Mytilus edulis: one gene and its partner. The protein of the gene in region 1 purifies or fractionates together with the protein of each later gene. This does not show direct contact. Links are inferred from orthologs where the notes say so. Each region holds a gene or a part of one and is shown in the gene's direction. Other genes may lie near its edges.

The links. The genes of interacting proteins can lie anywhere in the genome.
Region 2: the proteins of RNA polymerase-associated protein LEO1-like (region 1) and FACT complex subunit SSRP1-like fractionate together in Homo sapiens (co-fractionation; 3 studies listed by BioGRID and IntAct, with this or other methods). This does not show direct contact. The link is inferred for Mytilus edulis from reciprocal best matches to the Homo sapiens genes LEO1 and SSRP1.

The regions. Positions count from the first base shown.
Region 1 is NC_092354.1:82,880,000-82,888,877, reverse strand, and holds the start of RNA polymerase-associated protein LEO1-like, read left to right. Parts: upstream 1-5,029; 5' UTR 5,030-5,090; coding exon 5,091-5,136; intron 5,137-8,878. Other genes in the region: uncharacterized protein, read left to right, coding at 1-71, 305-539. UniProt on the Homo sapiens protein: Component of the PAF1 complex (PAF1C) which has multiple functions during transcription by RNA polymerase II and is implicated in regulation of development and maintenance of embryonic stem cell pluripotency.
Region 2 is NC_092349.1:23,152,894-23,161,459, reverse strand, and holds the start of FACT complex subunit SSRP1-like, read left to right. Parts: upstream 1-4,894; 5' UTR 4,895-4,997; coding exon 4,998-5,051; intron 5,052-6,471; coding exon 6,472-6,657; intron 6,658-8,566. UniProt on the Homo sapiens protein: Component of the FACT complex, a general chromatin factor that acts to reorganize nucleosomes. The FACT complex is involved in multiple processes that require DNA as a template such as mRNA elongation, DNA replication and DNA repair.

The DNA.
Region 1 (8,878 bases):
CGTATGGCAAGACCGATGGGCAGTAGTGGTGGCAGTGCAAATGTCCCATTTGTTAATCACCAGGGCGTGAGGTACAGTCTCTCTTAATGTCCCATTTGTTATAATCACCAGGCCGTAAGGTACAGTCTCTCTACTGTCTAATGTTAATTACGTTGAAACATATAATATTCTACCATTGATAATCAGTATTTGAAGAAAATATGAATGCAAATGGCATTAGGTACCACTTTTCATAGGCTAAATTTATGTAAACCATCCATGATAAATTTTTCACAAAATACTGTTTTCAATTTCTGTTTTTTAGAGTAACAACGGACCAGGGAAATCAATACCTTATTCATAAAGGTGATGGCTATGGAATTTCCAGTCAAACGGTTGTAACTGACGCAAAACATATGTCCAATCAATGGCAATCTATGGGGTCTCGTGACGTTGGCGGTAACCAAAATGTCGGGAGTTATGTTGGAACTGGCGGTGCAAATTACAAACTACTTTCTGATAATTGTATACATGGAGCCGGAAGGATGTTTAAAAAGTGATAAATAATCAATGCTATGACATCACTCACAATTTATTAACAAGCTTATTGTGTATTTAAATTCTATTTATCTATGATAATTAATGTTCTTTTCCCCTATACATATGTTTCTTCTATATGCCCCTTGTGGGCCTTTTATTGTTAATAAAATCTGATATTGCCTCTTGTTCCTGTTATATGAAAAAGACGGATTAGAATTTAGACCAAGCTCATGATTGATTTTTTTTTATTCTAAAACCACTTGTTGGTATGATAAGGGTTATGTCCTTCCTGTTGTATTTTATGACGGCATAATATTATACTAAACCCTTAACGGGAAGAATTTAAGACGCAATCATTGAATTAGAATAATTGAATTGAGGTCTGGTACGGGAACGAACTGCATCTACTTGCCGACCTTTTCTTATTTTCATATGAATCGGAATTCCTTCGGGCACTTGTGAAAAAGAAGAAGATAAAAAAAGCCAGGTCATTTAATTTCATATTGTGATATACATGAGATTATGTGCTTTTCATCAACAATCCAAATGTCTCTGATTAGTTTCCATTAATATATCCCCCACAACTAGAACATTAAGTTAACACGGCTTCATTAGCATCCTTTTTAGATTTATATACCTCGAATGTGACATACACGGTCATCTCAGTGCCAGAATCTATGACAAACGAGACAATTTTAATTTTGAAATTATCAATAGTTTCCACCTTAGTAGCATTATACTAACTTCACCTGCATATGGGGTATACAATTCCCAATGCATTCCTGATTCAGAATATTATCAAAATAGATATAGGAAGATGTGGTGTGAGTGCCAATGAGACAACTCTCCATACAAATAACAATTTAAAAAGTAAACCATTATAGGTTAAAGTACGGCCTTCAACACGGAGCCTTAGCTCACACCGAACAACAAGCTATAAAGGGCCCCAAAATTACTAGTGTAAAACCATTCAAACGGGAAAACCAACGGTCTAATCTATATAAACAAAACGAGAAACGAGAAACACGTATATATTACATAAACAAACGACAACTACTGTACATCAGATTCCTGACTTAGGACAGGTGCAAACATTTGCAGCGGGATTAAACGTTTTAATGGATCCAAACCTTCTCCCTTTTTCTGAAACAATAGCATAACATCACAACAAAGACATACGATAAAATATCAATTGGCAGACTTAACTCAATCAAAAAACGTATGATTAAACAATGAACGAATAAATTTGATCTGCGATATCTGAATACAAATGCACAGTTAATTAAATATTAGAGACAAACATTCATGACCAAAAAGCTAACAAACAAATTCAAAAACAGGACATGACTGAGAAATATTTAACCAATCAATGTTTACTTTAGAAAAAACCGGTTTTTTTATAATCTTGAAGTTTATACAAATGTTGTAAGAATAAGTGAAGATATTACAAATAATCAAAGCTGGTGTACAGACAAAAAGCATACAGCAACTACTGAGACTTTGTTAAACGACACCAGTGTCTAGTTGGAAAGGTGGTGAACCAGGGGTAAGTCAAAGAACGTCTAATCCTTTATCTTAAAAAGTTCATTGGAAGGTATCCAGATTTTGTTTTATAAATATTCCGTATCGACATCACAAAAATTACACCGTATGATCTTGAAGTTTAGATTCTGAGAACTGACATACGGTTTATGATCTTAACAACATGTTATAGTATTCTTGTATTTGTGTTTATGAATATTAATTTTACTTTTTATTCTGTTATTGGTGGTATCCATAAAGATTTGACTTGGTTCGATCTGTATTTATACATCCCGTCATTGCGTAATCATACGGTAATGTTCTAATATAATTTATGTACTTGTGTCTTTCATTTTGGTTAATATGCTTTGTATAGCTACATTCCTTTTTGTGTTTCTTTGTTACGTCATATGACGTATCCCTGTATACATTCCGTCATCGTGTTACTGTGCTGGAGTATTTTTTTCTTGTGTTCTATTTGTTGGTTTTATAGTAATTAAGATAATAACAAAATGTTGACTGCTATACCCCCATTTTTTACATTGTTACCTATTATGTCTGGGTTTTTTTGTTCGCACATCGTTGTAAATATAATGGAATTTCATGCGACTGTCATACACGTGAGAGGTTTAGCTAGCTATAAAACCAGTTTTTAATTCACCATTTTCTACATAAGAAAATGCCTGTACCAAGTAAGAATTGTGACAGTTGTTGTCCATTCGTTTGAAATGATTGAGCTTTTGAAATCTTTGCATCTATAAAAATATTTGGTAAAGATTTTAAATAACTTGTGCATGTTACGTAATCTTTCCCTTTAAATAAAATATTAGTATACGTTCATTGACAAACGTCAATACAGACACGGATGGCGCCAAAGAAACGTCATCGTTCAGAATAAGGAAAATTAACAATAGGGAACGAGAAAATCGGCCCTTTTGTCGAAAACTTTTCCATAGTGTTTCTCGTGTTAAACTGAAGTATCTTTTTTTTCCCAACAAATAAATATTCTTTATTCTTCAAATTGCTTGGTACATGTTTACTTCATTGTCCAAGCTTCAATAATCTTAATCTAAGAAAGGGCAATTATTTCTGTTTGTATTTAATTTGTTCAAAGTTATATTACTTCTTTTAAATTACGGCAGAACAGATTTGAAGAAATCTTGTCAGTTATATACTTAACGACGAGATAGCACCGCAAAGATAACGGTGTTATTGCATTGATAAATTTAATAGAATTTAGACGGGTCTTTACTGAGTTGGCTATTTATTTTTATGCCCCACCTACGATAGTAGAGGGGCATTATGTTTTCTGGTCTGTGCCTCCGTTCGTTCGTCCGTCCGGTTAAAGATTTTGGTCAAGGTAGTTTTTGAAGAAGTTGAAGTCCAATCAACTTGAAACTTAGTACACATGTTTCCCATGATATGATCTTTCTAATTTTAATGCCAAATTATATTTTTGACCCCAATTTCATGATCCACTGAACATAGAAAATGATAGTGGGAAGTTCAGGTTAAAGTTTTTGGTCAAGGTAGTTTTTGATGAAGTTGAAGTCCAATCAACTTGAAACTTAGTACACATGTTCCCCATGATATGATCTTTCTAATTTTAATGCCAAAATATAGTTTTGACCCCAATTTCATGGTCCACTGAACATAGAAAATGATAGTGCGAAGTTCAGGTTAAAGTTTTTGGTCAAGGTAGTTTTTGATGAAGTTAAAGTTACACCAACTTGAAACTTAGTACACATGTTCCCTATGATATGGTCTTTCTAACTATAATTCCAAATTAAAGTTTTGACCCCATTTTCACGGTCCACTGCACACAGAAAATGATAGTGCGAGTGGGGCATCCGTGTACTATGGACACATTCTTGTTTTCTTCTAATTTCAGGCTATCCTTTGGGTAGACATAACTAACTTCTTTGTTTCAAAAGATAAACACATACAGATTTGAAAAATTAAACATTTGGAATATTTTCTTAACATATATAAGTATGTTCTAAATCTGTATAAAAATTCTTTGGAATAATCCATTTTATCCAAGATTGTAGAATATGAACAGCATTATTTGCAACGGTTTATTTGCAGTATAGTTTTCTAATTTAAAAAAAAAACTTTCATAATTTTTTTTTGGCTTGATCAATCTTCATTCGGGGTTTCAATAATTAGCGACAATAAGCGTTAAGAATCGACAAGAAGCGACAAAAAGCGCATAAAAGCGACAAAAGTCACCAAGAAGCGACAAGGAGAAGAATATAGCAACAAGAAGTAAAATTTAGTGAGAAACAACAGAATAAACTTCGTGTTTTTCTCCCCTTGATTTATCAAGGATGTGTTAAAAAAGTAATATACTTTCAGTTTTAAAACAGCATAGTGTATAGATGAATGAACGATTTATGTGGTGTGTGCATGGTTGGTGTAAGTCAGTAAGATTCAACCCAAATTATAAGATAAAAGTCATGATAATTATAATGTAATCTTGATTTATTTCAGACTAAAAAGGGCAATATACATATATATAAATACATGCCACGAAATGTTCTGTCTAAACTGGATAAAAGATCATAAAAGGTTCAAATATTCACATCATTTATTAATAAAATACAAAAGCATACATTCATGTTTGAACAAAAAAGGGGATCCTTTTTATCCTTTTTATTTTTTTTATTTCCATTTATTTCTAGTTTTTCTATGATGCACCTTTAGTATAATCAGATGACTTAGTTTCGATAATGAAACCTAATGTCATTTTAAAAAAAGAGGGGTCTATGAAACGCAGTCGTTCCCCCTGTATCTGTATCGTAAGCCCTTTGATGACATTCCTTATCCTCGTGGACAAGAATCATTTAGATGACATTGTTAGTGTTTTAAATTAGTGTGAATGTATAAATAATAATACATTTTAGTAACGTGTTGGTCAAAATAGGGTACGACTTGCTTGAGTACGAGTTGTCGTTTTATAGTATGAAGAAAGAAGTGTCGAAAAAAGTAGATGCCGATTTGTCTTATCGTATCCAGTCCGACATCGTTTCTAAATTTAGTCATAAAGCATGGCGGAAAGCAGAGAATTGTTTGGCAGTGACGAAAGTGGAAATGGTATAATCAGTTATACATATACATTTAAAATGACTTACTCTGATATTTACGATCGAAAATCATAAAACTTTTTAATTTAAGGTTTAATGTGCCTATCAGTATCACATGTACTGAAGAAAAATGAATTTAACAAAAAAGACGAAGACACTATTTTCAAAATTATTCCTACCAGAGTATGAATTATGATATTTATTCCATCCTGGAAAATTGAACACAATAGAAAAATACCTCCCAAGTACAGTTTTTAGTGGAAGAAGACGTCAAGTCTTCTGAAGACTTAAGGGGCTGACCTTTGGCATTGAGCCTCCGTATGCCGCATTCGTTTCGTGTATTACAATTTCATAACAACTAAGTCTAAGATTCCTGACACCGATTTTTACACATGATTAGGCATCTGAATCATTTAATTTGTAAATTAGGATTGAAAAACAATCACTATCGTAAATATGACCCTTTTAATTATGTAAATTATCAGATTTCATCTCATCCACATGAACGTTATTTGGTCTTTGTTTACTAGTCACAGGATGTTTTAACTGTAGATATTTGTATTAGGCATGCGTGAATTTGGTATCGGGACAACTCGCCCTGTTTACAAGTTAGCCCTTGAAGTTACGAATTTGCAATCCTGCAGACAAGAAGATTTTGTTTTTTTGTAAATAAAAAGGATATATTTCTTATTAAATTGTTGTCATAATTCATTGTTTTCCTTTGTCATGTGAATTAGATGCCCTTCTACTCCAAATGGTTTGAATCTATTTATAAAATTATTCAAGACTCAGTTGACAAGAGCAATACGTTGCTGTTTGGAGAATGTGATTAAAATCTAAGCTCATAGAAAAAGAAATATAATTGAAACTCTATGTACCTCCTTCTGAAGAATGTATTGCAATATAAATATAAATTCCTTTTGACAAGAGAAATCTGACTTTTGTCAGAAATATTTTTTTCATGTGCAAAGGTAATCACGAGTGTCGGCCATATTGGTTTGTTTACAACTATGTGAAGAACCATGACCTAAACATAAATAGTCTCTGAAAGTGTATACTTCAAGCAATACTATTTTATCAATCATGAATATTTTCATAAATTTAAATTTGATTATTTAAAGAAATAAAATTATAACAATTACGATTTTTGATAAGAGATTCTACACAGACATGCTGTGATCTATTTATAGCCAAATTAGTTTACCTGTGTGAAAATGTAAATAATTTGTTTACTAAACAAGTAAAGACAAACTATGGATGGAAGATACTAATTTACATAAATACTTCAGGACATTTAATTGATTTTAATAAATATAGGATTTAAAAACTGCAGGTGGAAACAAATTTATTCATTAGCTACATAATCAGCTGATAATTTTATTTCACAAACATCGTGGTGATGTTATTGATAAAAATCACTCCATCAATCCTCCAGCCCTTTCACATATTAAGCAATAGATCTACTTATTATTGTAGAATATTTAATGAATATACATTCATCGTCTTATTGAATATATCGGGTAATCAGATATTTTTAGCTGACAATCTGGGTATCCCATTGGCCGGAGTCTACTGTACTACCAAAAACATGATAAAGATAGTAAATAGTATTTTTTCACTAATTTATTGACAATTTATTGACATAATACTGGTTGTAACATATTTTATTTTTGTATTTAGGTTGGGACCCCCCACCCCACCCCCACTCCAATTATGAGTGGTGTCCCTTAAATGAGGGACTGTCCCTAAAACAAGGGGTCATTTTACTGTTGAAAAAAAATAAAGTACATTTTGAAGATTTTTATTAAACTCAAAAGTGGGAAAATTCATATTTGGAACAACTTTTCTAAATGAGGGGTCAAATTATTAAAAAAGATATAAGTTTAGAAACAACAGAAAATTCTTTTGACATGTTTTGACTATTCAGTACTTAATAGATGCATATAGTTCTTGGGGAAAAGTTTCATCAAATAATATGAATATAAATGACTTTTTTGGTGCTCATTTTTTACAGTGGGTTATACTGATCTTCCAGTTAGGTTAATCTCATTTGGAGTGTTGTTCCCAACCTGTTAAAGGTCCATCTTTGTGCATAATTTAAAATTGGAAATTTCAACAAGCATCTAATATTCTTACTCTGGAAAATAAACCCTGGTCTGCTAGCTTCATGTATATTTTTTCTACTGAATTAAAACTAGAATCATGCAAACAGACTTAAGAAAAAGGCATGTAAGTTAATCATACAAATATGACACTTTTTCTAGACAATCCAGATCGTGCAAAATACATCGCTAAAAATTGTAACCTTTAAAAAAAAATTTGTGCAGGAAAAACCCATATGGGAATTGGGAACTTTCAAAAGTTGGCGGGTATGTAACGAGCCTTACTTTTTTAAGCTCCATTTGTGGGCAATATGTTTTCTAGTCTGTCCGTCCGTCCTGCTTCTGGTTATAAAGTTTATGGTCGAGGTAGTTTTTGATGAAGTTGAAATCCAATCAACTTGAAACTTAGTACACATGTGTTCCTTATGATATGTTCTTCTTAATTTTATTGCCAAATTAAAGATTTTACCTAATTTTCATAGTCAACTGAACATAGAAAATGATTGTACGGATGGGAAATCCATGTACTAATGTGACCTTTTCTTGTTTGAAGAAAAAAAATACATTATAACGATAATGGAACAAAGCAGCCTGGGTTAGTGGGGCTGCTTTTATGGTAATTCAAGTTACCTTTTATTCACCTTCTTCCACTTCAGAGCTATCAGCTCTTTGATTGATTGAGGGGTGAGCTATACTGTAACCTAGAACGCGAACTTCACAACAAATTATTGAAACAAACTACATGATCATGACATATAAATCTTTGTCTTGTATGTATGTATGTTCCGTATCTCCCTCCTTTAGTAGGAGCACCACCATGGGTTATGGTGTAAAAAGGAAGACATTTAACACACTATATCGGTACAGATTTAATGTGAGCATTTGCCTATCCAGTCTCCCAGCCTGGCCGTGACTCAATTGTTCCATTCATACTATTCTAACACCAACACAACCCACAAAATAAAAGTTAAAGTTTTAGAACTTATAAAAAAGGATACAAAAAGAAACCAAAGGCCGAATACCAAATTATGGTCCATATACAAAATAAGGGATAAGATCACCCCGGATGCCGCACAAATGCCTAGACAACGAATGGGAAACCGGAGAGGACATACTTGGAATCCAAACCGATACCGCTAAATGCCCAGCTGTATTCCTGGTAGAGGAAAGCCGAAAATCCTATGATAAAGGATCTCGGAAAGAAACTACCGATCCATTAGGGGAACAGCTAAAACCCTCAGACATCAAATAGATTGGTCTGATAGTTTCCCACATGGAAACTACTAAAGGATCCCATCTGACTACATGTCTCAAACAAACCTGAAAATATCTGCAGAAACCTTTCTCAACAAAAAAATATAATCCAAATCATAAAATATACGATGTAAGGATAATAATATTTATCCATGAAATCAATTTGACAAAACAATTTCAATGATGTTGATGGATTGTCTCTGCAAATATTTTCAAGTCCGCTCTCATCGGCATGCTCGACTCGACGTTGATGATATAAAAAAGAAGATGTGATATGATTGCCAATGAGTCAACTGTCCACAGTGACCAAAATAACACAGACATTAACGACTATAGGTCACCGTACGGCCTTCAACAATGAGCAAAGCCCATACCGCAGTCAGCTAGAAAAGGCCC
Region 2 (8,566 bases), on another chromosome or scaffold:
TTTCGTAAAGCGGAGCGAGGCGATTTTTTTTTTTTTTACCTTTTCAGGCTAAAAAAGCATAATATAAGTGTACAATGAACTTTTTACACGGTTCCTGAAGTTGGGCATGTATATTTTATAGTTGCTGTAAAGTGTAAGGGTCGGACATTTTTGATGCCGTATTCTCCCATTATAAAACGATTGGATAGATCGAAAGCTATGTACTAATATAATTGATGTGGGAGTTGGCAGTAAAAAATGGACATGGAAATTTCTCGTTTGTTTATTTAGTAAAATCTCACAATTATTTGTTGTAAACAAGATAGACGCCGGGCTATCGATGAAATTTACAATAGACCGACACCAGATAAGAAACAAACAAACAATTTTTGTCCAAATGTTTGGTTGAAATGTTTCAGCCAACAAGGGAAGTGAGGGTTCCAAATTAACCAAAGTCTACGAATGAGTCTGAAAGGACAACGAATTTAAGGATGACGGTCGACAAATGGAGATATAATGGCCACACCAAGCAGGCAGGTTGAAATCGGGCCTTGACAAAAGTATTCAATATATCAGTTCGGCGAAACAAATATTCCGGTCAGATATGGGATTTACATGCAAACCCCGGCAACAAAAAATAACACCCGAAATTTTTGTTTCTAATAGAAAATAAGTGGACAAAATTAATGTTTTCAATCCAGATATATACGACCAGAATTTTTGATTAAGACAAAAATCAGGGTAAGATTTTTTCTCTCAAACTTCTCAGATCATTGCCCCCTCAAATCAAATAGTCCATACTTTTAAAAGACATAAAATCCATCTAGAGCTTACTGACTCGGGATCATTATTCAGCTATGTTATCTATAGGCTGGGGCCTTTGGGATTAAACATGTTTTCGTAGATTTATAATATTGCTATGGAACTTTCACGAGAGTGTAATAGAGTATTACTTTCTGTTTGGTGGAATTATGAAATAGAAGTCAGTACGTTCTTGCTCAATCCTTTGTTGCTTTGAAGGTGTCATGCTTGTCACCTTCATCATAAGCAAGTGTTACTGTAATCTGAATTTCAAAATGACTGAATGCCGGTTTTTTTTTTTGACGCACTGGTTAACACCGCCGTAGCGAATCACATGACGTTGACATAAATAATAATATATTACAGTAAATACGAGCAATAATTATCGTTATAAGTTAAGAAATGTCGCTTAAAAACAAAATACACGGGAAATGGCAAATTTCACGAAGTCTTAGTCTGATTAATATTTTTTTACAAAAAAAAAAAAAAGTCCAAGCAAAAGGGGGGCGTACGCCCTCTACGCCCCCCTCTGGATCCGCCACTGTACAGTCTGAACGTCGTGAACTACACAATACACAAAATTTTCCTTCCTTCTCAATTTTCTAAAATAAATTCTCTATGTATTGATTTCGCGAAACTGGTCGTTTTGATGAAATTAGTAAAGAAAAGTAGAATACGTATTGTGTGATACAAATGGAGAGTAGAGGATGAATTTCATTTTATTTTGCGATGTTCAATAATGGTGATATACGTTAGAAGTTTATCAAGAAATATTATTGGGCTAGACCTTCAACTTATAAATTGGTACAATTACTTTCTGTTGAAAACACTAAGAAACTTTGTAATTTAGCAAAGTACTAACTCTATGCCTTTAAGTACAGAAACAATTTCAAAGGCATAATTGAATTATATGTGTCTGAAACTTACAAACTGTATAATATGTGACTGATATTGCTGACGTTTATTATCAATTCCTGTGTTTTTTAACGCTTGTAAATAGTATATGTATGCATATACTATAATACAGATGAGCTGTATCATTCAAAGTAATTATAAAAGGGGGGGGGGGGTCTATAAATAATTGAAGTCTACTAAAATGTGTGGAATATGAAACGTTTAATTTTACAATACTTTCTTTATTGTTAAATAAACAGAAAAAATGTTGAATAGAAATATGCGGTTTTTTTTCAATATACGTCACAATATTTATATAAAAAAATACATGCCTTAGTTACAGAGTAAGCAAACATTTACGGAAATGAAAGAGAATTGTTTTAAAATACCGTGTTTAAAAATTATCGAGGAAAAGAGGGTCATATAAATATATATTAACTTGTGCTATGTTTTAAGTGTACTATGCTTTTAACTTATATATGTCATTATGGTATCTTACTATGCATTATATGTTTAAAATTGTGTTATTTTCATGACTTTTGTTTGTGTGTATTGTATTGTGTGTGTGTGTATTGTATTTTGTTATTAAGTCGATTTGAAAAGCTCACTAGAGCTTGTGTTATGTAGTTTATTGAATATCGATTCTAAATAAAACTTTGAATCTTGAATATAATATATGTGTCGAAAAGAAGGACTTATATTTTAATTTGCAGAAAATAATTCCAATGCCATTTTCGCAAAGGAGTTCTTTTGCCAAATTTCGATGTGGTGTAGCACCACTAAGAATAGAAACGGGGAGATTTGAAAAATTAATTTTAAAAGATCGAGTCTGTGATAATTGTATAAATATTTTAGAAGATGAAGCCAATGTTATTTTATCGTGTCCTTTATATGGCGATTTTAGAAAAAAAAAAATTTTATGAAGCAACACATTTTAATAGTGATTTTATGTCTTTTTATGATAAACAGAAATTAGTGTTTTTATTTACAGATAATAATATGATTATAGCTGTGCCAAAGCCTGTAATCTTATTTTATATAGACGTAGAAATGTTTTATACTGTAAATAATGTTAATGTTAATATGTTTTATAATAGATGAATTCTTTATATAAATTTAATGTTATAGTCTCTTGTAATTCTGTACAGAATGGCTCTCTTTTTATATTTATATAATTTTACATTTAATGTAATGTTGTATTATATATTATTGAGAGATGAGACTTAAATAAAATATTGAATTGAATTGAATTGTATTTTAACATTTTTGTTTTATATTAATCCATCCCTATTTAAAATTTAATTTTCTTTTTAAATATATTTCAAACAATCTATTCATATTTACTCGAACTTAATCGTATGTTTATATGCGTGAAATAATTATGTATTTTGAAATTTACAAATATAAATGATAACTTTTTAAAGAATCATATATTTTACTGAAAAGATGATTATGACTCAATACAATCGACATTTTAGCTAGATATGCCATATTTTTGTCGGTATTAATTCTATCACTTGTTATCAATTAATAATTTGATCCAAGCCATACGTTATAAGAATTTAATTACTGTAAAAACAAATATCATATCTTTTTTAATGCTTTCTTATTCAAACATATATTAAAAATCACATCTGGGACCAATATTACATACAGTATTTTTACACTTATATAGACAGCAGTCTAGCGTTGTCAAAACAACTACCTTTTATCTATCGTGTGAAAAATTACCCCTTAAGCGATTTATTACACAATCAATTAAATCATCATTACCTGATAAAGATCAAAGGAGATTATTAAGGTAGAAAGATGATATAAAATGGCTGTCCTTTCCGTTATTTGTCAGTTTACTTATCGCAATGGAGAAAGACTACATCGAAGAGGAAATAGCGACCAAGAAGATTTGTTTCAACAAAGCTTGTAAGCAAATGATTCTGCTTAACGAAAAGATGCATTTATTGATGGAGCGTTACTGCCGAGCGGAAAGAGCCGGACATCGTAGTTTACGCTACAATTTACGTCTAAGAATAGCCATTGTCGACGCTCTTCGTCGGGTCTACTTTGAATATGCCTCAGTAAAGAAAGAAGAGGCTGACACCATGTTAGAACTACTTAATAATAGAGAGAAGGCAGAACAAATGGAAGGCACCATGATGGAGATAGACATGCATGAATCCTAACTGCAAATGACGAGTTCCAAGACTAAGTCCTGAATTTCATTGCAAATGTGCAACGAAAGGCTCTTGTAAGAGCCAAACAAAATTTTCAAAAAGATGTTGAAATTTTTGTTTGTTTGTTTTTATTTTACATTTATTTTTTAACAATAATCGTTTTTTTTTCTATATTTAAAAAAAATAATTTCCTAAGGTTTTAAAAGTCGGCACAAATTTTAATTTCATATTATATATACGATATGTCTTTTTAACTTATATCTTTTTGGTACTTGCATTGAAAAGTCAACCCCAAACATGGAATTATTTTGAAAACTTCTAAATCAATGTTATCACAATGAAAATAAAAATTTTGCGATAAACGTCCACTAGAAAAAGATCATAATTTTATCATAATAGAATTTACACTAAGTTTCCAAAGTTTACAATATTCACTAAATGTATAAAGTTGGGACTAAAATAGCTTCAACTTATTCAGCAAACGCCCCTTGTTTCATCTGTAAATAATAAAGAAAAATGTTTATTATACATATTCATCACATTCTCAATCTATTCAGATATACAACTTAGTTCAAACCATCGTGCAATTGTAAAACAATATTCAAAATCATTCAGATAGGCCGAGAAAAAGAAAGCAGAGAGATTTCCACCTTATCTTTCTCTAATATTACAAGAAACTTTGAAATAGTCAGATCATTGATGGTTAAAAACAATTAAACAATGACCAAACTTAATAAACCAACTGTTATATTTTACTGAGTGTATTTATAAAATATATTTTGTAAATACCTGTTTGTGTACACCCAGTTATATTGTGGTTCAGGTACGGATACACAGTACAGGTTTTTACCCAATTATTCTACCTTTTTCCCGCTATTTTTTCTTACTATTTAGAGAACCGTCAGAATCATATTTTTTGTCCGTTTTCCTGTATAAAATGTGCCAAACTGTTTTTTTATTGAATTATTTTTGACAATTATCTTTTATTTTTGAAATTTTTCATAAGAAAATGTAAAAACTAATGAATATAAATCAAATGTAAGCAGAAACAAATATAAATCTCAAACCGGAAATTATCCCGCTTGGTCCACTTTATTATTTTGAGGGAAAAACGCACATGAATAGATCAGCAATTTCTTAATTTATTTAACAATGAGCGACTTTCAGGAATATGGTGACGTCGTTCAAGAAATAAGAGGAGCAGTTGTTAGTATTTTCACCTTAAATATCAGTAAAATGTGAAGACATCTGTTTTTTGTAACGATAGAAAGTTAGACCACTGGCCCCATCCAAATACTGAAATAGACCCCAACCAACTCGCCCCTTTCAACTAACTCTGCCAACTTTCTATCAAATTGTCTAACTAATTGTAAACAACTCGCTTGTTGACAAACTTGTTTACCTATGAAAATGGAATTAAATAATAATTTTCTGACATATTTTAGGCCTGGCAACTCACCGCACTTGTGTCGATTTTAAACTAATTTAAAGGCTGTTAAGAGCTTTTATATGAAAATTACAGCTCAGACCTTTTTGCGCTTGCAGTATACATAAGTAGGGAGATGACAGGACGAAATTCAAGGGGATGAGTGGGTTTGAGTTGGTATCGGCCAATTTGGCAATGCTTTCTACCATGTCTACCTACTTATCAAACTTGATTGAAAACATCTGAAACCAGCTGAATGCATGCATGTTAAATTTCCACACTTATGAAACAAGAGTTAAATCCTGATAAATAAAAGTGTCCCACTTTCGAGTCTGATGCTGATAGTACAGACCTGTCTATTACTTATTCTTATGAATAGCTATAGGGGTTCAAGGCTCTTGCACATCTATACAATTTATCAATTATTATAATTAAAAGTCTTAAGTGTGTTCATCTATGTATTGTTTTAATGTAGACACAGAGAGAAGGAGAAGTCATAGATGTTGCAATATTTATGTACGGTGGAGTCCGGTGTATCCGCTCACCTATAACTTATGACTTCACTGCATTCAACTGATAAAACCAATAATTGGATAATATTGTGTTAACAAATTCATAACATACTTTTATTTCATAAAATCTTCTGTTTGTATGGTTTCATCCTCTAGATTTTGTGTAATGTGTGTCCAAAATTAGGGAAACCCCTGTTCTGAGAGTTTCTCCAATGTCCGGTGATTTCGTGCATGCCTTCCAAAAATAGCATATTTTAAATAAAGGAAAGATTTTATACTACAAAATATAGCTGAGTTTGAACCAAATACACTGCCAAGGATGCAGAGCAAAAATTATTTCAATCTTATATAAGTTTGACTTTATTAAAACAAATTTTATCTGATCATGTATTTTTTTTAATGGAAATTGGCCAAATATGGCAAATCACGTGACGGGATTGCAGTTATTAATTAACCCTTGAACTTATCAATTTTATTCTTTTTCATCCCTTCCACATTGTTCCGAAGGCTAAAACAATAACAAGAACGATTCTGTTTGTGTTACTGTGTTGATATGACAAAATCAGCTAATGCGCAATATCACGCGCATACAGACACCGGGGAATTGTATACAAATATTTACTGAGTCATATGAACATTTTTTTTATATTATTATTCATAATAAATGTGCTTTGTGTTTATTTTTTAGAACCCAGGAAGATTAAAACTTCAAAGCAATAGTGTAATTTTTAAGAACAATAAAACAGGAAAAGTTGAACAGTTCACAGGAATGGAGGTGAATACATCAGAGTGGTTGAAAAGGGCAAGAGGTCACTGTTTAAAGTTCAGACTTAACAATGGAAATGTTCACAGATTTGATGGGTTTAAAGATGATGTAAGTACAATGGGAAGAAAAGTTGATTCATGATACATGTAGTTATTAAATCTATCCTTGTAATATTCTCACCATATTGTTGATAATCCTGATATATCATAGAGGGGCCTGATGTGGGGGGTGTCTCATCACGATTCACGAGTTGATTGGTTCACAGAAAACAAATTTCCATGATCATGGATCACGAAAATATAAAAAAAAGGAAAAAAATCTAGAAAAACGGATCACAATAGCGAAACTAACCCATTAGGCCCCTCATTATAGATATAAAAAAGAAGATTTGGTATGATTGCCAATGAGACAACTCTCTAAAAGAGACCAAATGACACAGAAGTTAAAAGCTACTGGTCACCATACAGTCTTCAATAATGCATAGTCAGCTTTATAAAATGCCCTGAAATCACAAGTGTAAAACAATTCAGTGAGAAAACAATCCACCTAATTAATGTACAAAAAAATTAAGGAAAAACAAACATGTAAGTCGGATCGAAACCTTCACCTACATTTTTTTGTAGCTTTGGACAGTGTTGTAACAGCACAACATAAGAAAAAACTATAAAAATCAGTTAAAAAAAGACTCAACTCATCAGATAGATATATACAAATAGAAATACCCCTAACAAAAACACAAAGCAGGTGGATGTGGACATGTAAATCTCAACAATAATAAGACACAAAGTTCTGATCTGAGAGTACTCACAGTTACTGCAAGCTAGTCATGCTAGTTGTTCAATTTTTCGGTGTAAAATATATTTTCTTGATAATCATGATAAGGCCAAAAAAAAATATATGTCTGTTTCCTGTTTCCCGACCGACCCTGACTCAAAGCCCCCGACCCTAGATCTTTTTATTCAATTCCGGAAAAAAAATCATTTCCGGTCCAGAAAAATTCGTTTCCGGTCCGATCCAGATCCGTATTTTACTATACCCAAACAATTAAAATGGCTGCTCCCAGCACAAATGTGCTACAATTAAGGTTTAAAAAATGTCGGCACTGGGATGATTATTCAATTAAAGCTTCTTTAAAGAGATTAAATGATTTTAGGGTACAGGACCCTAACCAAACATGACATCTAACCATTTGCAAATCTGACAGGGAGTGCAAAAATAATAAAAAAAAAAAAAAAAAAAAAAAAAAATCCCGACCTACCTACCCTGATTTTTTTGCCTTGGCAGCAGGAAACAGACATATATTTTTTTTGGCCTAATAGTAAGTCTATTCATTTTATTGTCGAGCCTGCAACTTTTGTTGCAGAAAGCTCGACATAAGGATAGTGATCCGGCGGCGGCGGTGTTAGCTAACTTCTTAAAAGCTTTATATTTTAGAAGGTGGAAGACCTGGATGCTTCATACTTTGTATATAGATACCTCATGTTACGAAGTTTCCGTCAGTCACATGTCCAATGTCCTTGACCTCATTTTCATGGTTCAGTGACCACTTGAAAAAAAAGTTATGATTTTTTGTAATGTTGAATTCTCTCTTATTATAAGTAATAGGATAACTATATTTGATATGTGCGTACCTTGAAAGGTCCTCATGTCTGTCAGACAGTTTTCACTTGACCTCGACCTCATTTCATGGATCAGTGAACAAGGTTAAGTTTTGGTGGTCAAGTCCATATCTCAGATACTACAAGCAATAGGGCTAGTATATTCGGTGTATGGAAGGACTGTAAGGTGTACATGTCCAACTGGCAGGTGTCATCTGACCTTGACCTCATTTTCATGGTTCAGTGGTTATAGTTAAATTTTTGTGTTTTGGTCTGTTTTTCTCATACTATATGCAATAGGTCTACTATATTTGTTGTATGGAATGATTGTAAGGTGTACCTATCTAGCGGGCAGATGTCATGTGACCTTGACCTCATTTTCATGGTTCAGTGGTCAAAGTTAAGTTTTTGAGTTTTGG